Solanum lycopersicum: one gene and its partners. The protein of the gene in region 1 binds, or shares a complex with, the protein of each later gene. Links are inferred from orthologs where the notes say so. Each region holds a gene or a part of one and is shown in the gene's direction. Other genes may lie near its edges.

Region 1 (4,086 bases):
TTCTCCTCCGTCATGGATTCCGGCTTCACCCCGGTCAACGGTTCGTGAAAATCTTTCTGGTACAGATAATCTTCGATCTGCATCTTCCAGAAACTGAAATCGGATCCATCAAACTTCTTGATTCCAAGCTTCGAACTATCCATCTTCTGTGATCGTGTTGAATCTCCTTAGCTCTGATACCAGTTGTTAGGATCGATTCACGCACACACACTAGATGATTGAAGAACACAAGAACTTTCAAGAGAAAGAGATGAGAAATCTAGAGAGAGAGAGAGAAAACTCAATATTTCGTGGTAAAACCCCGTGAGTAAACTTCTACGACGGTGAGGTATATTTATATTAATAAATCAGAGTATTTTTGGTTACAAAGAATAAATAGGAAAACCTAAAATTAATCAGGCTCCACTACCTAACACTTATTTACATAAGCTTGTACTCTTACCACAATCATAGTCTACTTGATACATTGTACTCTTTATAACATTATATATATATAGAAGGCTTCAACGTGGAGCTCATCATGGGAGAATATTATTATACACAGGTAATAGATGATTTCAAACTAAAATGTTCAATTTTATAAAAAATAAAAAGTAATATTGAAAAACAAAGGTAAAATGTCTTATTTTTGTTCGACTTCAATAACTAAAATATTAATATTATTTTGTCACACTTCAAATACATGTTCATTTTTTGGAGTTTTAGAAACTAAACCTAATGAATCCTTTTTTAGAAAACACGATTTTTGAACAAATAAAACAAAACTCACATCAAAATTGGGAGTACTCAAACATCAACTTCATTGAAAAATATATTGAGAAGACCTAGAATTTCATTCCTTTCTCGTCAGATTAAAAGAGGAGAAAACAAGAGGAGAAAAAGAAAATAAAAAAAATAAGTCAAGTTTAGAGTTTTCGAACTTTTAATGGCAAAGAAAAAACACAAAATTGAAAGTTTTTTTCATTTTATTTGTTTGGAAGATGAAGAGTCACATTCTAGATCTACAAATATAGAGAGAGTATTTGAATGTTTATTTAAAAAGAAGTGGAGTATATTTGATTGAGAGTGAAACGTAAAGTGGTCAATTTATATTTTTATTCATGTAGTACTAATTATTCAAGTATAACTTATTTCATCTCGAACTCGCATAAAATAATTCATGGATTGACTCATAACTTATACATGTATTACTTCAATAGTTTTCTAATTTTCTAATGAAACATAGAATTATGTGTGTTAAAACATTATATCTTGACATAAAAGAGCTATCAAATATAGTATAACTTATGTAACGTAACTCAATCCTTATCCAGTAACCAAACGATCTCGCACTTTAAACCATGGTAAAAATTAGGCTATTTCCTAATATTATACTCTAGTAACAACTTTTTTACCATTTGTAATGGATATGTTTACCTAATCGGTCTATACAAGAGGGTTGAGGCTCGTCATCTCCGTCACACACCATCTTTGTCCCTCATTTTCACCAACCACACACACTCTCTCTCTCTATCTCTATTGCAGTTCAACTCGCCGTACCGGAGAACTGAAATCGGCAACTATGGCAGCTACATTTGCTTCAGTGGTGAGTTTCTTTAACCTCTCAATAATTTGCAGTTGAGCTTTGTTGTTCAGTGTTGCCTTCTAATTTGTAGTAATAACACTAATTTTTGGAAATAGAGCGTTGTTGTTGTTGTTGTTGTTGTTTTAGTTGACTAACGTTTCTCCGTTTACAGTCGAATTTAGGCTCAATTTCAGTTCCACGAGTTGCGAACCCTACATATGCTGCTTATCCGAAGTTGCTGAAATCTTCATTCTCATCGTCAAGCTTATTTGGTGGTTCGTTGCGTCTGGACACTTCTTCAAACCGTTCGGTTCACAAAAAAACCGGCGGTTCATCTGGTTCTATTCAAGCCGCGGTGGAGGTCTGTGCTCGCTCGCTGAGCTAATTTATTAGTGATTGCTCTACTGTTTGTGTGTTTCTTCTTTGATTTCGCCGAAAATTTGATGATTGAGTCAATATGTCTAGCGTTGAGCTAGTAAATATGCGTTCTAGGGTTTCTGTGAGGAATAACTTTTCTGTTTAAGTTCTAGAGCTAAATGTAAGGGATAAGTAGATGAATACATTGGTTGCAGATGGCATGTGTGGCTGAGTGTTACTTCGTTGTCTCATTTTATGTGAGAATATGTTAAATTAGGTTTGTATATAGTATTGGTGATGCTAGAAGAAACTATGAACAACTTTTGGAAAAAAAGTTTATATCGAAGGTTGTGAAAAGAGAAATTTTAGTTCTTCATAATATTTGTGAGTGGAACAAGGACTTTTAATACTTACAACTTGTGAAATTGGTATAAAAATATAGAGATGTCAAATATGACCCAAAATGAGAAGACTGTCATATAATGCAGTGTTTTCTTTTGTTAAGTAGCAAAGTTAATTGTGGAAGCGGATTTTTAAGTCTTGGAGCATTGATTAGAATGGCTGTGGTTCAGTTTTCAGCAAACATGGTGTTATGTTGCCTTTTGTATGGGACTAATGTTCCATAATTTGTTCATTACTTGGTTGAAGTTTTTAATAGATCTGAATGTATTTATTGAAATCCAGGTGGCGGATTTGCAATCCAAAGTGACAAACAAAGTTTATTTTGATATTAGCATTGGGAATCCTGTTGGAAAACTTGCTGGGCGAATTGTAATTGGATTATATGGTGATGATGTGCCACAGACAGCTGAAAATTTCCGTGCACTCTGCACAGGTTCTTTAATAGATTTTATGTTATTAATATTATTGTCGTCGATATTCTTATGACTAGTGCTGCTATCACTACTACCTTTATTGCAGTTTTTGTTCTCATTATCATTATTGCTATAATATTCTGCCTTGTTGCTTGAGCTTCATGCATATAATTCTTTCTATCATTTATGTTTAGCTTATAGTTTGGATTGATTTCTTCCGATCAGGTGAGAAGGGCTTTGGCTTCAAGGATTCTGCATTTCACCGTGTTATTAAAGATTTCATGATTCAAGGGGGTGATTTCGACAAGGGAAATGTAGGTGTCTCAACACCTGGTTTGCTTTCTCTTTCTTTCTTTTTTTTTTCTATTTGTTCCTCTAATTGGCATTCTTCTTGACACACACATCCTTCACCCAGTTCATTGTATTTTCTGTAGTACACTTGGTGTGTTTTGGGTGCTTATCTTTTAGCCTTTTATTTTGCTTGTTTCACCTTGAGCAAGATTTTAAATTAACAGAAATGCAAAATTCTGAATTAGTTCTTTGCCTAGTGTTTTCTTGTTCCTGTTTGGTGGTTTATCCTTCATCTTTTGGATCCTCCATGGCTCCAATTTCTACCATGGAAAACCAGAGAAGAAAAGGTTGTTTTTCAGTTTGTTTCGGTTCTGTGTTTGTGAGACTTCCCTGATGCTTGTAGCAACGTAAGATCTCTGTATTCTAAATTATCAATTTTCATGGTATAAACTTTTTTTCAAAAATAAGTAATGAACTTGCATGATGTAACTTTGCTTGTTCTATGTTTCTGAATGGGATGTCTTCTTTGATTAGTAGTTGAATGTGTGAAAGAGTACATGAGCTAAGATGCTCAGTGGAATATGTACTACTGCCATATTCAATAATTCTGTTTAAGTGGAATGTGTTATTGCACACAACTTGACTGCTCCAATATTTAATATGCATAGATTGATTGAAGAGTGTTCTAGTGTTTGCAGTTCATAATTTGGAAAATTTTCACTTGCCATTCTGGCATATTGTAATCTTCCCCCCATGGATTTAATTTTTTATTCGCAGGGAACCGGTGGTAAAAGCATATATGGTCGTACCTTCAAGGATGAAAACTTCAAGTGTAAGTTGGATTTTCTTCTTAAAAATTGGTTTCAAACTTCTCCTTGTGGTTAAGGCAATGGACCCCTTTGGTTCAGATTGTCAATTGTGTTCAATGTTCTTTTGTGATGAAAAATCCTTGTGTAATTGCAGTGGTTCATACCGGACCTGGGATTGTTAGCATGGCTAATGCAGGGCCTAATACCAACGGAAGCCAATTCTTCATTTGCACTGTAAAGGTATGTGGAA
Region 2 (3,943 bases), on another chromosome or scaffold:
ACACAATTCACTCAATTTAACATGATTTCTACCTAATTTAAACTACTACTGTGAAACATTAACTCTTTAAATTAGTCAATTTTATATCTGAAATCGAATTTAAACATTTCTGTATATGAATACAGAGCAATGGAAGAAGGAATATATATAGAAAGTGAGATAAGTTAGAACTTACAGCGGTGTTATCGCCGGAAAGGATTTGACCGGAGTTGGCTCGTCGGAGAAGAACTTCGCCGGAGGAACTTGCCGGAGAGTGTGTAATTTGAACTTCGGTCCCAAAATGCGTGAAAATTTTGGGCTCGCATGGGTCCGTTTTAGAAGAAGTTTGGGCCTGTAAGTGAAGCCCATTGGGCTTATAGTTCATTATATGCAATACGATTACTCGAACGGGGCGGAATTGATCAATCTACATTTTCAATTCCGATTTTTCTTTCCACGAGCGTATCTACAGAATAAAGAGAGCAAATAAATGGACTTTGGTCATATTTACTCGACGTGCGGTCATTTCTTCCTTGAACATTCCGTTACGGAAATTGAATCAAGAAGAAATATGACTTTATGAGATACTAATAATTATTAGAACATGTTTTAATTGACTTATTTTAGGTGTATTTAAACAGTTTCATAGCATTCATGTAAAATATTAAGTATTTTTAAACACTTGATGCTACGACAAAATAACAAAAATAAGTCAAAACTCATATATTAAACACTTGATGCTACGACAAAATAACAAAAATAAGTCAAAACTCATATATTAATCTTTACTTATGTCACTTTGCTTATATAAGACATAAACAAGTATAGTTAAATAAGTTCTTAGTTCATTGACCATATAAAAAAAATACAAGTGTAACAAATAGGAGAATCGAGTTATAGATACAAAGAGATTGAAAATGAGTCAAGTAAAATAGATAAATTATCCAGCTCACTCGTATTTGATTCTTTCTTCAAAATAATTAGGTTGAAAGTCAGTGACAGAGCTAAGATTTTAAGTAACAAATTCGAAAAATAAAAATATCATAGGAATTTATAATTTTGGGAAAAACATAAAAAGGAAAAAAAGAAAAGAAAAGAGGGGAGAATTACAATCTTACCCTCAATTGAGATATCCTTCTAGTGGCCAATAGTCATCAAGATTTTCATCAAATGGATAATAATATTATAACTTTTTTTGAAAGTGCAAAAAATAGGCTATCATTTTTGTTCATAGTTTCAACACCAAAAAATTATGGCAAACACAACAAATTTAAACATTATATTTGAAGCTCTTCCCCTCATTCCCAAGATTGAAAAAATTCAGAAAAAAGCAAAAACAATAAGCCAAAAAAATAAAGAAATTCAAGAAAATTCACCACCAAAAATTACAAGAAGATTAGCATTAAGCATTGGTTCAATTGCTTTATTTGCAAATTCAAGAATTGATATTTCACTTGCTGAAGATAATAATGGATTTTTTATTACTGGTCCACTACAAGACCCTTCAATATCCACCAGTAAGTTTTTATTTTCTATATTTTTTTTTATCACGTCGCGTTTAACAGCCACTAACACTTGCATTTATAGATATTCCCAATTCATCTAATGCGAAATGTTTTATGTACCAGACTACATTAACAAAGTTCATGTATAGCACGAATATGAAATGGGTGAACCCCACATGTCCAAATTATTCGAGTAAAAAAATTTGAATTCGATGTAAAATTACCTTTATACACTACGAAAAAGCTGTGAATACATGGGGATTTTCCTTGGAATTAGTATAAAAATTCACCATAAACTTATTTTCCTATAAATTTTCATACTAATTCTCAGAAAAATCCCCATCATAGCTCATAGATAAGTGTGAAATTAGCCGAATCAGAATATTTCGCTGAAGCAGAAATGATAGGATCGTAAGAAGAAAAAGTCTATACGCCTATCCGTATTATGTAATTTACAGTTTTCTTGTAGTGATGTCGGACCCCATTTGGTGTCAAAGGGTAAAAAATTGAGCTTTTTTCGCGCATTTAAGTTTAAGATATCAAGAATCGAGTCGATCGTCCATAATTTTAATATGTTAGATAAAAGTTTTTGTAATATTTGATTGTAGATATTATAAACAAGGAGACAGGTACAAGATCATTTCTTAAGAAAGGAATGTACATTGCTAATATTGGAACAAAAGGGAGAATTCATAGGTTGAAAAGATATGCATTTGATTTATTGGCATTAGGGGATTTGATTGGAACAGATTCTTGGAATTATGTGAGGAAATATTTGAGGATTAAATCTACATTTATGTATTATGATTTTGATGAAGTTATCACAGCTGCACAAGTGAATGATAAGCAACCTCTCACTGATCTTGCTAATCGATTATTTGATAACGTTGAGAAGGTACATTTGATTTTATTTGTCTGATATTATATGTTGCTCGTATCCTTCAAAAATATTGTCCCAAATGTGTTCAAAAAATATATATAGATTTGAAGAGTCTGAGCAATATATGATTGATATTAGTTTGGTTAAACCCTACAAAAATTTTGTCGTATCAGTGTCACATCCTTGAAAAATGCATGTTTTCTTGAGGATGCGGTACACAATGTGATGTCAATAGTGTTTTTGAAGAGTCTGAGCAATATATATACACATATATAGGCTTGATGTTATGTTAATTGGACCATCTAAAAATGTTGTTGTACCTGTTATGTCGGATCCATTGCATAGCTTTTGGAGGATCCTCGATTGACGGACATATATAGAAGCACTTTTGAAGAATCCGAGCGACATAGGTTTGATAACTATGTTGGTCGAATCCTCCAAAAATACTGTTGTGCCCATGTGGAATCCTCCAAAATCTTACACACAAAAACTGTGACAATATTATTGAAGAGTCTGAGCAACATATGTCTGATACAATATTGATCGGACCCTCCAAAAATATTGTTGTGCTCGTATCAGATCCTCCAAAAATCTTAGCACATGCTCTGGCAATATTATTGAAGTCCGAGCAATATAAGTCTGGTGTTGTGTTCCTCTGACACTTCAAAAATATTGTCGGATCCTTACAAAAATGTATAGATTTTGTAGAATACGACACACATTATGATTGGTGACCGTCAATATTTTTGAAAAGTCTGAACAACGTAATTATAAATAGCAAAGTTTTTGATCATGTGTTTGCTCCAATATTTTTTTTTATGCAGCTTGAAGATGCTGTGAAGAAAAAGAACCTGCCTCAAACACAATCATGTTATCAAGAAACAACTACTATTCTCCAACAAGTCATGGACAGAATGGCATAAACAAAACATATGTTTTAATTATATTCTGTTAATTAGTCATTTTGACTACAAGAAGACAAAATGTTCCTTCGTAAATTTTGGAATTGTCAATAACACTTTGATGGAGATTCAATTTGATTTCCACATTTTTATAATAGAGACAACTCGGTGCATGAAGCATCTCGAGTCCATACATGACCTATGGAACGATGGAAGGATTACAATCCAAGACTTATTTCAGGTTCGAACATGTAACTAATAGGTCAAACAAAGATAACTATAACTTTTTAGCAGCATTCAAACATAATGAAATATTACCAAACAAAGATAACTATACCGTACCATCGTAGCAAAATTTTTATACATGACCCGTGGAACGGGGGAAGGGCCATAATCCAAGACTTATTTCAGGTTCGAACATGTGACTTATAGATCACACAAAGATAATTATAATGTTTTAGCAAAATTCAAACATAATGAAATATTATCAAATAAAGATAACTATACCGTTTTAGCAAAATTCAAATATGATGAAATATTACCAAACAAAGATAAATATACCGTTTTAACAAAATTCAAATATAATGAAATATTATCGAAAAAAATTAAAATGGAGATGCGGGGTATCGATCCCCGTACCTCTCGCATGCTAAGCGAGCGCTCTACCATCTGAGCTA
Region 3 (4,155 bases), on another chromosome or scaffold:
AACTCCTTAGACAATATATCTGGACCTCAACACGACATAGACGCATATTTCTGTAAACAGGGCAAACTCCCACTACGTTGTAATCATCTTGAAGCACATCAACGCAAAACCAAATCTGCTATCCCCAGGTTCCTCCACTTGATATCCACCACATCGATTAAGTCTATAACTAGGCAACTTGCTATACTTTCTAATTGACGGATTCCATATAAACAAGTCATGCAATTTGTTACATAGGCAACACAAATCAATCTGTTTACCGAACCCACCAGCCAAGGATAGTCTTTGGAAATTTTACCTGGATAATCCAAGTCAATTACCTCCTTTACAGAATGGCGATGTAAATCACTACACATAACTAGCCAACATAAATAGCAACCTTAAACATAACTCCTTGTTACTAGCACAAAATAAGAGATGCGTCTTCACAAATTTAGGGATAGAGATTAAGGAAAGCCAAGATTTCGACACAGACCTGAATTGTAAAAGGGATTTCACCGGAAGCCTTAACAAAACTAAATCTTTGCTTGAAATGGACTGAATTTCCATGGGTTTGCTCCGCTTTGGGAGGCTTCGTCCTCTTTGGATTCCATTTGGGTTTTGCAGAAATGGGAAATCTTTGAGGTTTCGATAGGGAGATTACTATATAAAAAGCCCTAAAGTTTGTCTTTTTTATTTTCCCTCTTACAACAGAGCTGGTTTTAGTTTTTATGTTTTAATACTATATAAATAATATTTTCACTGGTAATTTATATTTTAAAATCATTATATATTGAGTGTTGGTTATATTTTGTTATCTTAAACAACTTATGTCTTATAAGGTATAAATTTATTTTCAAAATATGATGCAGGAATCAAAGCACCATAGTACGTGTTCTAGTTAAAGGAAGGAGATATATGTGCTCCAATTATTTTTGGAGTTCTGTTATGTGTTTCAAAAGTTTTACTAGTAATTATTGTGAAACATTGTCTTTTTTAGATGTTAATGGTCGTATCACAATTCATATTTTATCTGTGGTGAACGTTCTTACTCCTTATGAATTTTACAATGAATACTTAACTTTGTTTTATTTTAAAAATTCAAAATATAAAAGAATAAAAATTAATTTATTTGAAGGACAACTTATGCAATTAAATAGGATGTTTGGAAATTTCATAATCTTTACTTGGATTTTGGATTTTCAATCCAAAATATATAAATTAGGTTTAAGTTTGGCTTTTGTTCTTTTCTAAATCACAAAATTATTTCATTAAAAAAGTTACAATAGAGTTTGAACTCTCACCTTATGATTATTATTCTAGCTATGTTTGAATATACAATATAAAATTAAAATTTGAATAACTAATTTGAGATTATGTTATCTCAAATTTTAAATTCTCCCCAAAACATCATTTCAATTTTTAAAATATAGAACTTATCCCATAAATTTATATAGCTAATATTATTATGCATATTTAAATATTTGTTATTTGTAATTTCTTTATTGTAAAGTTTATCAGCACATTTATTGAGTGGCAAGGAACAAAGTAGTCATCTTTGTCCAAGTTTGCAATGGTCCTTCCACAGTCTCTGTTGCTATAGCTGCCTACTGCCACCACTCACACACTGCCACCAAAATACCCAAATGACAACTCTCTCCTACACCTTCCCTAGCACCACCAGCAGCAGCAGCAGCACTAGGAGGTTCTTGATTACTAGCAATGGGTCTTCTTGCCGGCGGCGCCCCAATATTTCCACTGAAGACCAACCCTGTTCCTCTTCAGGTCATCCCCAATAACCCCTTTCTCTGTGTGTGTGCGCAGTGTGAAGATTTATAATGCTTAATTGATATTATGGGTTGTTACAATATCTTGATATTAGGGTGATCACTAAAAAAGTGAAAAGATCAAGACTTTGTAATAATATTGCATCTGTGTGAGGTGGGGTGTTAATTTTTATTTTTTTTTAAAAAAAAGGGGTTCATATTGGTGGTTAAGGCTTGAGCACCTCCTACCTTTGAGGTAGTTTAGATAGGCCTAAAACTTAATTTTACATGGTATGAGTACCAGGTTCATTCCCGGTGTGAGCTTTTGGTTCTCGCTCTCAAGGGGCCTAAGCGTGAAGGAGGGTGTATGGTTTTGCGATTGAGTTAGGTCCGGATGACAATATCTTTACGGACTTGATAACTTAATGGTTGATTCAAGCTTGTTAAATGTAAATATTAAGTTATGTAGGGAGTGGAAGTATGCATTTTACTTAATAATGTTTTGAAGTTGTGTACAAATTCAGCTTCAACTCACATTTGTTCCCAATTTTCAGCTTTATGGTTCAATATCATGGTGTGTGTGTGTGTGTGTGTGAAGATGTATAACGTTTAGTTGCTATTATGTGTTGTTATAATATCTTGATATTAGGGGGATGGTTAAAGAACTGAAAAGATCAAGACTTAACTTAATGGACTATTCAATCTTGTTAAATGTGAATATTTAGTTGAGTAGGGAGTGATATGTACACTTTACTTAATTCTGTTTTTAAGCTATGGTTTGGGTGTGTAGAGATTCAGCTTCTACTCGCATTTGTTCCCAATTTTCAGATTTATAGTTCAATATCACGGTGTGCGTGTGTGTGAAGACGTATGCTTAGTTGCTATTATGTGTTGTTACAAAATTAGGGTGATGGTTAAAGAACTAAAAAGATCAAGACTTGATATCATAATGGGTGATTCCAGCTTGTTATATGTAAATATTAGTGGGGTAGGTAGTGAAAGTGTACATTTACTTAATTATGTTTTGAAGTTTTGTTTTTTGGGTGAGTAGAGATTCAGCTCCAACTCACATTTGTTCCCGATTGTTATTGTTTTACATGGTATGAAATCCAGACTTTCCCTAATATTGGTCTATAAAGCTGAAAATGTTTGTGCTTACTGTTATGCACTGTCACATTAAGCAGTGCATTGGCAATGTTTCTAGCCATTGTTGACAATGGTAAAAACTGACTTCTGGTTCTCGAGTTTCACAGGTTGCTTACAGTAGGCACCCTTTCAGTTCTCCCTGTAACATAATCTTATCAGTTCTCTTTGGAAAATGACTTATTTATAACTTTTTCTACCTTTTACATGTGGAAATGCACACTTGCAGCACCAAAATGATACTGTTATCCTGTTCGCATTAATTAAATTTTGAGAGTGATGTCTTAACGTTCAATGTTTTTCATTATGATGCCTTTGTTCTTTCGGTCATGTACCATGAAATCTGAATTAAAATGGCAAAATGCAGCCTGTTATCAAGGGGCAGTGCAGTCTTATGGTCTGCAGAAGCAACGAGTACAATTAAATGGCATATCAAAGGCTGTGAGAACGAGAAGACTTGATTCAGTTGGAAGACAAAAGAAAGGAGCAATTAGATGTAACATTGAACTTCAGGACTTCATAGGTGGAGATCTCATTAAACCTGATTTGGGTCAATGGTTATCAGATGTGGAAGAACACAAAGCCATAGCAATTTACTCTCCTCATGAAGGGGGCTATGAAGGACGCTACCTTACACGTCTTAAGTACCAGGGATATCATTTCTTGGACCTTTCGGCTCGTGGCCTCGGTGACCCTGAAACCACTCTTACCAAATTCCACCCTGTCTGCCCTGTAAGTTTAGCAGTTCGCATACGATATGCTTATTCTCAAACACTAACTTGCAGTGTCTAATTGACTCTCATCTGCAAATTTTGATGTTGCAGGCTCATGTTGGTAAGCAACCAATAGCTAGATGGTATTTTCCTCCAGAAGTTGATTATAGGCTTTCTTTACTTCCTCCGGATGCTAAAGGATTAGTGGTTTGGATAATAGAAGCCAAGGTTAAATCCACCCCTTCAAGTGTACATCATCTAATTAGTCCATCAGCAGTATTTTGACTAGATCTTTGTTAACTGTTTGACCTAAAATGTTCAGGTCTTATCAAAGGCAGAGCTGCAGTTTCTTGCTTTACTCCCGACACTTCGTCCTAATGTGAGGGTCATTGCAGAGTGTGGTAACTGGTAAGATTTTCCTTTCATCTTCCTTTTTCTTGTTTATCAATCAACTCTCTTGTAAATAAGGAAACTTTGAGATCTTGTCGTTGTGGTTAAAACAACATTGTATGCAAAAGCTACCTGGATTTACTTCAGTTTAGCCTTCTGTGGTC
Region 4 (3,780 bases), on another chromosome or scaffold:
TTTTATTAGTAATTTATATTTCACTAATATTTTCAAGATGTATTTTTACGCATGTCATAATTCAACGAGTAGCATTATTACTAATTTATAAGTACTTATTTTTTCGCTTAAAGTTTGATCAAGTATTTTTTGTATTTAAAATATTTAATCAAACAAACTATTAACGACCCTTATACTAATAGGGATTACAAAAGAATTCTAATTATTTCTTTTTTTCAGTTAAGTTATAATTCGTTTATATAATTTTATCATCCCAATCCATTCATTTCTCATCTATTATTTTTTGTAAATTAAAGGTGTTGCTTTAATTTGTAAAGCAATTATTATTAGTCCAACTATGTGGGAGCTAGAGACATTAGATATTTTAGCTGTAAAGCAATTATTCATGCACAATCAATAATGTATTATTTTTGCCTAAATTGCTTTATATCTCTTTATTTATGAAGATAATTTATTGATGATTTGATTTGTTATATCAAAAACTAAATAACATGTATTTCATAATTTTAAAGAAGATATAATTTGTTCACAAAAATACTCTCCAGTCATTATAACAAAAATAATCATTAATTGTCGTTAAATATGTATTTTTAGCGGCAATTGACACTCTTTGTATATGTCCATAAAATATTTAGCAACATTGGTTCTAATGATACTTAACTAATGCCGGTAAAGACTTTCGCACTCTTTATCAATGTCAATATTTAATGCCGCCAAAAATTATTTTTGTTGTAGTGTAGAAAAATAACATCATAGACTTCAAGGGTGTTTCTGTCAGTTTCATTATTTTATTTTGGGATAACTAATCCTGATACCATTACTCTGCTCTATGACGGTGATAACTTATTTCAGGAGTGTATAGTTGAAAAATTCAGCATAATTTAAATGGTTTTTAGTGTCTAATCTCAATGTTGAACTCAAATTTGTTTTGATACGAGAATTGAATGCCTCAAGGGAAAAACATAAGAAATTTGTTCGATTGATAGAAGATTGATCCCAACCCGTCAATGAAATAGGGCTACTAGTGTTCAGTCTTGATTGATTCCGAAAAAATGCGAACCAAGTAAAACTAGTTTCAAATTGAACAAGGCCAACCCTAAGTTAAACAAATTCCAAAATTGGGCCAACTAGAACAAAGCCTCTTACACCATTGACCCAACAACACCAAAATTTATTGGGAAAAAAAGAGGATAAAATATTTGCCAAGTCACCAAAACCTAAGGTCCATTTTGGATTTAGGGAAATCAATTAATATCCATCCAAAACACACACAAAAACCATCAAACACTCCTTAGATTTTTTTTTTCAACACAAAAATGACCACTTTCACAAATCCTACAACTTTGTTCCATCCAAAAACCAAAATAACCAAAACTCATCACACACAATGCAAGACACTACCCAAAATCCAATCTAACTTATCAACTAATGAACAAAACTTCTCATGTAGACGCAAACTCATCGCGACTTTTCTAGTCACTCCATTGACACTAGGCCTACAATTCACCCCTTTAGCATTAGCTGAAAATTGGGGCGTTCGATCATTCTTAAGAGAACATTTCTTTGAGCCTGGATTGTCCCCTGAAGATGCAGTAGCACGAATTCGTCAAACAGCAGATGGACTACATAGTATTAAAGAGATGTTGGAGACTAACTCATGGAGGTATGTATTGTTTTATATACGACTTAAATCAGCTTATCTTAAACAGGACGTGAAGAATGCCTTATCCAGGGTGCCTGAAAGTCGAAAAGAGTCTTATATTAAAACTGTCAATGAGCTTACTGATAACATGGCTGAGGTAACTAACTGTCCTTATTTTCCCTGTTCAGAATTTTTCGAGGTTCTATTCAGTGTTATGGATATTTCTATGTATTTTCTTCGTCTGCAGTTTGATTACTACATTCGAACACCAAAGGTATATGAATCTCGTGTATTCTATGAGAAGACGTTGAAATCAATTGATGAATTGGTGGGATTACTTGCATAATAATATCATCAGGCTCAAAGGTGAGTGAATGTTGTAGCAGAAAAATCGCGTTGGTTTAACAAATAAACTGATCGAAAAACGTTGAAATTATATACAATTTTATGTTCATTTATAAGCTTGGTCTGCGAGTTGATGAAATTGGAATCAAGATTACATACGAGTTTATGAGAGAATAACTATTAGTTGAATAAACGTGATATTTGAAGATGAAAACATTGAAGTAAGGAGGAAATCTTTTCATTATGTGATACAACTGATGAAAATCTTGATACAATGAAATGCAACTGATGAAACTAACATTTACAAACACAATACACACACAAAGGCTAGCAATTGCTAGTGTAGCCAACATCTTCAGCGCCTTGATAAAGCGATAGATGACAAAATTATAAGTATAACCATCAAGGCCATTGCACCAAAAGAACCGATAAGGGATCCAGCAGAACGTTGACAGAAATCTGTATACTGTTGGCATATCGAAAACCAGTTAGTTGAAGTGTTGCCATTGTGTGCCAAATACACAATCGCGGCTGCTGCTGATGCTCCAGATGTGAGGAAAACCAGCATTATCTTCAAAAGTTTTCGCAAAGTATAAAAGATATCAGTACAACATCATAACAAAGTACTAAATATGAAAACTTTAGCAGAAATCTAATGTATTACCGCGTCTAGAACAATGAGCAAAACTCTGCTCTTTCCTGCTCTACTTCTGATAATGTGAAAGATTGAAATAGTGATAGAAAGTGCAAGATATACACAAACTATAGAATTCGAAACCACGAAGAACCTTCAATCAGAATAAGCAAAACAAAAAAATGTGTTAGTTAACCTTTATACTGTTCTATTTCATGTAATAATATGTTTGCAGTTTTGCTTACTTGAACGAGTCGATATCATCATACTGAGCTTCAAAATTTACAATCTGTGTACTGAATGGAAGTGCTTGATCTGCAGTACCCATTGCCACAGCACTTGCTAAGGTTCCAACAAGTGCAACGATACGTAAAACAAGATCAAATACAGAGATTCCTCTGTTCACTCCATGAACTCTTTTGGCCTTTGATCCCTCTCCAGTTTCAATTGATACTGCCTTCATTTTTTCCTTTTAGCTCAAACTTTGAAACTAGAATGAAATTTTGTTGTTATGATTTGTATGTCAAGTGTGATGCGAATTTATACTAACAAGTGAACCAAATCATGTAACAGAGTTACAAATAGTATTAGGTTTTGATGACACATAATTAGTTGTTGCTTTTGCTTATTTAATCAATGAAATGTACAACTTTCTGGTTCATGATATTCCATAAAGTAGTTAAGTCTTGCATTAACTTGCTACACTTTTTACCTGCTCTACTTTCTTCCTAACATGTATTTTGAAAATGTATTTTTTCTCGAGAAAATGTATCATTATATACGAGAAATCGCGATATTAAAACAGCACACGACACGTTGCAATCCATTTGAGAAGGGTAGTATGTATGCATACGTCACTTTTAACTTTATGGAATTGAGAGGTTGTTCCCGATAAAAACTTCAACATTCTTTGTCCTATCTTTTTTTTCTTTTTTAATGTTTTGCAAACACACTTTATGATCATTGATTTATTATATTAGGTCAATTGATAATATACTAATAACAATGGTTATGGTCCTAAATGGTTTTTTGGATTAGGCACAAAGTTCTACTTGAACATAAGAATCAAACATGAGAAATTAGAATACTAGAAAGTAAAATAATGAATAGGTTGACTTTTTGATTAACAATGAGAAATAAAATAAAGAACAAGTTTATG
Region 5 (3,187 bases), on another chromosome or scaffold:
AAATCTTAAATCACCATATGTTGACCAAGTCAAATTACTGGTTGATAAAGTCTAATTAATATCTAAGCCAAAATTGTATGACTTAAATCAAGTCCAAATCATTTGGATCATTCCATTAAGTTGACAAGATGAGCCCAACTCATGTTCTTCAGGCCCAGGGATCAAAATTGCTCAGACCAAAATACCCTAAAGCCCTAACTCAAGCCTATATAAAGAGGTATTCTTCTGACCAAAAGGACAAAAAAAAATACATATACACAGGAATACATAATTGCTTTTCAGCATATAAAGAAGTCTTCGCTCCAAGGGTTGAGCCGCAAGTATTCCGCCAAATCAATAACATCTGTGAAGAGAAGAATCAGGGGATTAAATATCTTTTTGAGATATTTTATAAAGATTGTAACCTTAGTATTAATTCAAATACAAATATTATTGTTTGCTTGCTATTTTTCCTTTCCTGTATATTGTATTTCAGGATTGAAACTTTAGACGCATACACTGAGATTTGGATCATCCAAGGTACATTAACATGGCGTACTCCACCCCTGGTACCCTTTGATCATTCTTCAATTATATTTGGCGTTGCATTTACACAGTTGATGAATACCTCCACGCTAGGATGTAAATTGATCATTGATGCATCGCCAGTTGGATTTCCTTTCAAATAGCTTGTGCTATACAGTGATTGAAAGAACCTGTGCTTGGTTTTTCCACATCAACATGGGTGCATTTGATATCACATTTCATATGGTCGAGTTGTTAAAGTATCATTATCTTAAATTCTTCGAAGTCAATTGTTAAGGTTTTTAGCATTGATCAACCCATTAATTTTTAAGTTATAAGTTTACATTTACTATCTATTGCAATTTTGATGAATTTTTACACATAAATTTATATTTCGCATTAAAAGTACTGAGTTCAGATAAACTCGGTATCAATACATTAGATCCGCCTCATCCATCAAGGATTCAAGTTTGTGCTGTTGTTACATACAGATATTTATGACATGGTAAACTTGTGAAAAATTTGCAAGAACAATTAGTAAAAATTATCAATGTGGATATAGTCAAATTTTAGCCCCACATATGAAGCACAGCTCATTTAGTTGTAGTTGAAAGAGACATAAAAGCCCATTTGGACCTTGGCAGGAAAGGTCATCCTCACATTTAATTTGCATCTTATCCTATTGAGCAAGAAAAAATGATGGAAAAAAAAGTGATTGTATTAGGAGAAAAAATAAACATGTTAAGCAAAAATCTAGTGATTTTTGTCCACAAAAATGGCAGCTACTTCACTCTCATTGAATCTTGGGCTTCCATCACCAGCAGCCAACAATTTGAATAGGCATGGCTTACACAACATTATTACATGTTCGGCATCAGAAAACACGTCCCCTAATCAACAGAGTAAGAAAATTTCATATCGATCAATTATGAAGTCATGTTTGCATTTACGCCATTTTCTCCGTGGTAAAATTCTACTAGTATCTCTGTTTCAGGATGCTTGATGAGAAGGTCATATCTATTAGGAGCAGGGGCTCTTTCGTTGGGTTTATTATTACCCGCGACTCCCCTTCTAGCTCAAGGTACTCTGTTACTATAATTTTTATTCTCTAAACTTTTTACTTTTTATAATTAAATGACGTGTATGCAGGAGTACCGGAGAACTATGAAATCTTTGTTGACAAACGAGATGGTTATTCGTATTACTATCCATCAGATTGGAGGGTATGTTGCTTCTTTTTTTTTTAAGAAATGAATTTTTAGAAATTAGTAAACTCTCATTTTGACTTTGGATGTATGTACAGGAATTCGATTTCAGAGGTCATGATTCTGCATTTAAAGATAGGTATCTACAACTGCAAAATGTAAGACTTAGTTTTATACCAACTGATAAAACAGATATCCATGATTTGGGGCCAATGCAAGAGGTAAATCGCGGTACTATTCATCTATGTAGCCGTTTTTTATTAAGCTATCAAGGAGGAGAAAAATATAAAAAAGACATGTATTTTCTTCGTCATACCAACTTATTTCTACTTTCCTAAAGGTTGTGCCCGATCTGGTAAAACATGTTTACTCTGCACCGAATCAGGTGGCAAATATAATGGAAATGAAGGAGGTATGATCCTTTCTTATTCTCTTGATTGTACAATATACGTAGCTCTTTTTCAATTAGTCACCATATTTTTGTTCAAAATTATGTAGAGAACTACGGATGGGAAAAACTATTTCACCTTTGAATATGTATTGACATCTCCAAATTTTTCGCGGGCAGCATTTGCTACTATAGCAATTGCAAATGGTAAGTGATCTGGTTTGTTTCCTTTAACTGTACATTACATTTTTCTGCATTCGTATTAAGACATTTCGTACAGGGAGATACTACACATTAATCGTGGGAGCGAATGAAAGGCGATGGAGAAAATTCCGCAACAAACTTAAAGTGGTGGCTGATTCATTTCAGGTGTTGGACATTTAGAATTGTTCTAAGAGCTGCAATGATAGAGTCTTGTTCCATGAAACAGGATTTGCAATTTGTTTATTGAATTACAGTACAAAGAATGTTTCTGGCTATCCCATAAGTAACTGAAATCCCCTTGTAGTTGAAGCGGTGAAGTGTTAACGACAAATTTTAAAGTGATGGAAAATAAAGCACAAATAAAGTACGGCATGATACATATCTAATCTTGGTTTCAAATTTTAACTTTGACCTCCAACGTTCATAGTAAACAAACAAACACTTCAATTATCTAACCCTTTAATAAATAAACACGCGAGTCGTACCTGGCAAACATGTAATGTGCATGTATTTTGTGCGAGTTAGGAGTAGTAATTTTTGAGGTCCACAATGGTAAAAAAATGCTGAAATAACAACTCCACCATTAATGAATCCCTTTTATATATTTTTTTATATTTCCAAATCAAAATTCATTTAAATTTTTTTTAAATTCTAAAATGGACGCATAAAATATTTAATTAGTTGGCAGTCATTGAGTGGCTCACTAATATACGTGGGAGCATTTGCATTTCACTCTCTTTGTCTCCAAAAATCGTGTGTTTATTTATTTAATGGTATGATAGTTTAAGTGTCTATTTGTGCACTATTAAAGTTGGAGGTCAAAGTCAAAATTTGAAGTCAAGTTTAGGGTCCAATATATGTATTATGCCTATAAAATATGATGAAA
Region 6 (2,845 bases), on another chromosome or scaffold:
ATATTAATTATTGAATTTATTATCAAATATTTAATGAATCCTATAGAGACAAAAAAGAATTCTTTTCGTCCCCATTCTGGCTATTGATAGGAATAATTTACGCTCCAATTTATGCAAATTCAATGTGTACACTATATACACCTTTTATCAATACTTATTATCTCTAAATTGTGTTTAATAATGTATTAAAGAAAAATGGTATGAAATAGCAAAATATGTTATTCAAATTAAATAATATAGCTATGATTTATTTTGTTTGTAATTTGTCACAAACATTCCATTCTTTTGTAATCTGATTCGCTATACAATTAGTCATTTCCGATATATAATTAGACATTTTATATATTTCGATATAGAATGTATAAAATGTGTTTGTGTTTGTATGAAACGAGAGAAAAGATTATATACAAATACATACATACATACATACATACATACACACACATATATATATATATATATTCGTTCTATATACTTATGATTATATAAATCTAGATCTTATTATACAAATTACAATTTATAAATGAATTTATACAAAACTGAACAATCTGAATAAAATTGGATGTATCTAGCGAATTATACAAATCAAAAACTCCATAGCAAACATAAAATTTATTATGGAACGCAATTATGCAAACTATATTTACAACATACAAATATGATTTTTATGTTTGCAATTTGTGAAAAATTACGTCTTTAAAAAAACAACTTTAGAGGCTATTTAGATGAACTTAAAAAGTAACTTTTAAATCAAAAATAAAATGTCAAACTTAAATGATTTATAAGTTAAAAAATAAAAGGCAGAGGAAGACCTACTTTTGATTTTAAACTTATTTTAAGTCATTTTAAAGTTATTTTTAACTTTGTCAAACACTTTCTGACTTATTTTAAGCCATTTTTTACTTACTCTAAGTTATTTTTTATATTTATCGAACACTTCCAAAAATAAAAATAACTGACTTTTAAATCAATTCAAACGCCCTCTTATTTAATCAACTATATCTTCTACAAGACCCCTTTCACATGTGTGGTCCTGACTTTTAGAAATTCCTTTTGATAACAAATAGCAACATAGCGCGAATCTAATACCTCTATATACTCTGATCATCAAGTTAAATCATATGATCATTTTTTAAAAAAATCTTAAATTATTAAAGAAAAACATAATATATCTCGTGTAATTTCATAAATGAATATAAAAATTATAATTTACTTTTAACGCAATTCCTCACGTGTGGTCCTGATTCTTTTTGAAAGGATGGTGTAAAACATGAGTGCAAGTTTAATCTTTTTCCAAGGAAGATAACATCATTCATGTGTTTCATTTGTCAATAGAAGATATCAAAACAAAAACAGATTGGTGGTCAGAATTTGAAAGGACAAATTACAGTTTCCCATTTCTACTTCTCATCTCATCCTCTACCATCATCTTTCCCAAATCCAAAGTTCTTGAAAAAAAATCAAAACCATGGCTTCTGCTTCTTCCTTTCAACTCTCAAGCCTTCAAATTCAAACCCCACCTCTTAAAAAATCAAACTTTCTTGGTCAATCTGTCAATCTCAACCTCAGTAGTAGTGTTCATACCAAATCAGCTATGAAATCATCTTCAAACTCAGTTACACCAATAGCAAAATTCAATCTTTATGAGATTCTTGGAGGTAGAGGTCTGTGTAATGGAGAAGAGGGTATAGAGAAAGAGCTAAAAAAGTCGATTTCCGAAGAACAAAAGGCAGTAGGATCAGCAGCAGCAGCAGCTAGTGATGATGATAATCAAGAAAACAAGGAGACTGGGGAGATACCGGAGGACGGATTTGAGAAAGAAATGATGGGGTTTACTGGCGGATTTCCGGGAGGTGAGAAGGGTCTAATGAAATTTATAGAGAAAAATCCACCACCACCACCACCCAAGAAAACAGAATCAAGTATGGTTTCTGGTTTTAATCAAAGTCTTGTGAAGAAACCAAAGCCACCTGAATTGCCACTTTTGTTACCTGGGATGATTGCTATTGTCAAGAATTCTAATAATCCATATTATATGTATTGTGGGATTGTGCAGAGGATTACTGATGGTAAGGCTGCTGTGCTTTTTGAAGGTGGGAACTGGGATAGGTTGATATCTTTCAGGCTCGAAGAACTCGAACGTAGAGAGAAAGGACCGCCAATGGTGAATCTTAAGTCTGTGATACTTGAGAAGATGGTAGAAAAGAGCTCTGAAGCTTGAATTGCTTCAGTTTTTGAGTAGATTGTTTGTTCTTTTGTCTTTTGGGTTGTTGTACATACAAGCTGTAAGTTTTGTAATGGCAATGGCATGTAATAAGAAATGCAGAAAAACTTTTGTGCAGGAAGAGTTCTGTCCCAAATGAGAAGTTCAACTCTTAGCAGTGATGTTCGAAAGAACTCTTAACAAAAACAACGTAAAAAATAAGAATCAGGTAATTCAAACCACTTGCAAAACATATAGTCAAATATTTAATATGATTGCACAAGATCTAGTTTTGTTTAAGTAATGAATCCTAGCATGTTCTTCTGATCAATTCATAGATCATTAGATACCATCAGTAATGAGGATCTGAAATATCACACGTTTTATCGAGCAAAGAGAGAGTCTAGCAGAACAACAACATACAGTATTTAACAGTGAGTGATAAAACAATTCTTACTTTTCACAAGCATGAGGTACCTCTGACACCACATATGGTGGATCTTAGACTCCATCCAATTGGACAACAGGTCGATATCGATGTAGATAAGTTCAATAATGATAGCTAGCCTGAGAGAGAGTATACAATGGTGCAAACTGCAAGATTTTGACAGATTCTCAAACAGATGGACCAAAATTTTATAA

What was found.
Region 2: photosynthetic NDH subunit of lumenal location 5, chloroplastic (region 1) and photosynthetic NDH subunit of lumenal location 3, chloroplastic share a complex: the UniProt entries of both Arabidopsis thaliana proteins name them as parts of the chloroplast NDH complex. The link is inferred for Solanum lycopersicum from reciprocal best matches to the Arabidopsis thaliana genes Pnsl5 and PnsL3.
Region 3: photosynthetic NDH subunit of lumenal location 5, chloroplastic (region 1) and NAD(P)H-quinone oxidoreductase subunit N, chloroplastic share a complex: the UniProt entries of both Arabidopsis thaliana proteins name them as parts of the chloroplast NDH complex. The link is inferred for Solanum lycopersicum from reciprocal best matches to the Arabidopsis thaliana genes Pnsl5 and NdhN.
Region 4: photosynthetic NDH subunit of lumenal location 5, chloroplastic (region 1) and photosynthetic NDH subunit of lumenal location 2, chloroplastic share a complex: the UniProt entries of both Arabidopsis thaliana proteins name them as parts of the chloroplast NDH complex. The link is inferred for Solanum lycopersicum from reciprocal best matches to the Arabidopsis thaliana genes Pnsl5 and PnsL2.
Region 5: photosynthetic NDH subunit of lumenal location 5, chloroplastic (region 1) and photosynthetic NDH subunit of lumenal location 1, chloroplastic share a complex: the UniProt entries of both Arabidopsis thaliana proteins name them as parts of the chloroplast NDH complex. The link is inferred for Solanum lycopersicum from reciprocal best matches to the Arabidopsis thaliana genes Pnsl5 and PnsL1.
Region 6: photosynthetic NDH subunit of lumenal location 5, chloroplastic (region 1) and NAD(P)H-quinone oxidoreductase subunit S, chloroplastic share a complex: the UniProt entries of both Arabidopsis thaliana proteins name them as parts of the chloroplast NDH complex. The link is inferred for Solanum lycopersicum from reciprocal best matches to the Arabidopsis thaliana genes Pnsl5 and NdhS.

Annotation. Positions count from the first base shown.
Region 1 is NC_090800.1:5,016,534-5,020,619, forward strand, and holds the start of photosynthetic NDH subunit of lumenal location 5, chloroplastic, read left to right. Parts: upstream 1-1,286; 5' UTR 1,287-1,561; coding exon 1,562-1,585; intron 1,586-1,736; coding exon 1,737-1,925; intron 1,926-2,605; coding exon 2,606-2,756; intron 2,757-2,961; coding exon 2,962-3,050; intron 3,051-3,804; coding exon 3,805-3,859; intron 3,860-3,990; coding exon 3,991-4,076; intron 4,077-4,086. UniProt on the Arabidopsis thaliana protein: NDH shuttles electrons from NAD(P)H:plastoquinone, via FMN and iron-sulfur (Fe-S) centers, to quinones in the photosynthetic chain and possibly in a chloroplast respiratory chain.
Region 2 is NC_090809.1:1,367,796-1,371,738, forward strand, and holds photosynthetic NDH subunit of lumenal location 3, chloroplastic, read left to right. Parts: upstream 1-1,149; 5' UTR 1,150-1,231; coding exon 1,232-1,496; intron 1,497-2,092; coding exon 2,093-2,379; intron 2,380-3,188; coding exon 3,189-3,287; 3' UTR 3,288-3,443; downstream 3,444-3,943. UniProt on the Arabidopsis thaliana protein: NDH shuttles electrons from NAD(P)H:plastoquinone, via FMN and iron-sulfur (Fe-S) centers, to quinones in the photosynthetic chain and possibly in a chloroplast respiratory chain.
Region 3 is NC_090808.1:66,282,323-66,286,477, forward strand, and holds the start of NAD(P)H-quinone oxidoreductase subunit N, chloroplastic, read left to right. Parts: upstream 1-1,355; 5' UTR 1,356-1,625; coding exon 1,626-1,764; intron 1,765-3,255; coding exon 3,256-3,620; intron 3,621-3,712; coding exon 3,713-3,829; intron 3,830-3,923; coding exon 3,924-4,009; intron 4,010-4,155. UniProt on the Arabidopsis thaliana protein: NDH shuttles electrons from NAD(P)H:plastoquinone, via FMN and iron-sulfur (Fe-S) centers, to quinones in the photosynthetic chain and possibly in a chloroplast respiratory chain.
Region 4 is NC_090804.1:2,507,900-2,511,679, forward strand, and holds photosynthetic NDH subunit of lumenal location 2, chloroplastic, read left to right. Parts: upstream 1-1,275; 5' UTR 1,276-1,316; coding exon 1,317-1,799; intron 1,800-1,889; coding exon 1,890-1,988; 3' UTR 1,989-2,008; exon of another isoform or gene 2,009-2,103; intron 2,104-2,203; exon of another isoform or gene 2,204-2,342; coding exon of another isoform or gene 2,343-2,558; intron 2,559-2,651; coding exon of another isoform or gene 2,652-2,775; intron 2,776-2,866; coding exon of another isoform or gene 2,867-3,084; 3' UTR 3,085-3,280; downstream 3,281-3,780. Other genes in the region: casparian strip membrane protein 2, read right to left, coding at 2,343-2,558, 2,652-2,775, 2,867-3,084. UniProt on the Arabidopsis thaliana protein: NDH shuttles electrons from NAD(P)H:plastoquinone, via FMN and iron-sulfur (Fe-S) centers, to quinones in the photosynthetic chain and possibly in a chloroplast respiratory chain.
Region 5 is NC_090809.1:53,937,044-53,940,230, forward strand, and holds photosynthetic NDH subunit of lumenal location 1, chloroplastic, read left to right. Parts: upstream 1-1,132; 5' UTR 1,133-1,279; coding exon 1,280-1,406; intron 1,407-1,484; exon of another isoform or gene 1,485-1,498; coding exon 1,499-1,585; intron 1,586-1,653; coding exon 1,654-1,727; intron 1,728-1,807; coding exon 1,808-1,930; intron 1,931-2,049; coding exon 2,050-2,121; intron 2,122-2,207; coding exon 2,208-2,304; intron 2,305-2,377; coding exon 2,378-2,481; 3' UTR 2,482-2,687; downstream 2,688-3,187. UniProt on the Arabidopsis thaliana protein: NDH shuttles electrons from NAD(P)H:plastoquinone, via FMN and iron-sulfur (Fe-S) centers, to quinones in the photosynthetic chain and possibly in a chloroplast respiratory chain.
Region 6 is NC_090807.1:67,427,465-67,430,309, reverse strand, and holds NAD(P)H-quinone oxidoreductase subunit S, chloroplastic, read left to right. Parts: upstream 1-1,468; coding exon 1,469-2,221; 3' UTR 2,222-2,345; downstream 2,346-2,845. UniProt on the Arabidopsis thaliana protein: NDH shuttles electrons from NAD(P)H:plastoquinone, via FMN and iron-sulfur (Fe-S) centers, to quinones in the photosynthetic chain and possibly in a chloroplast respiratory chain.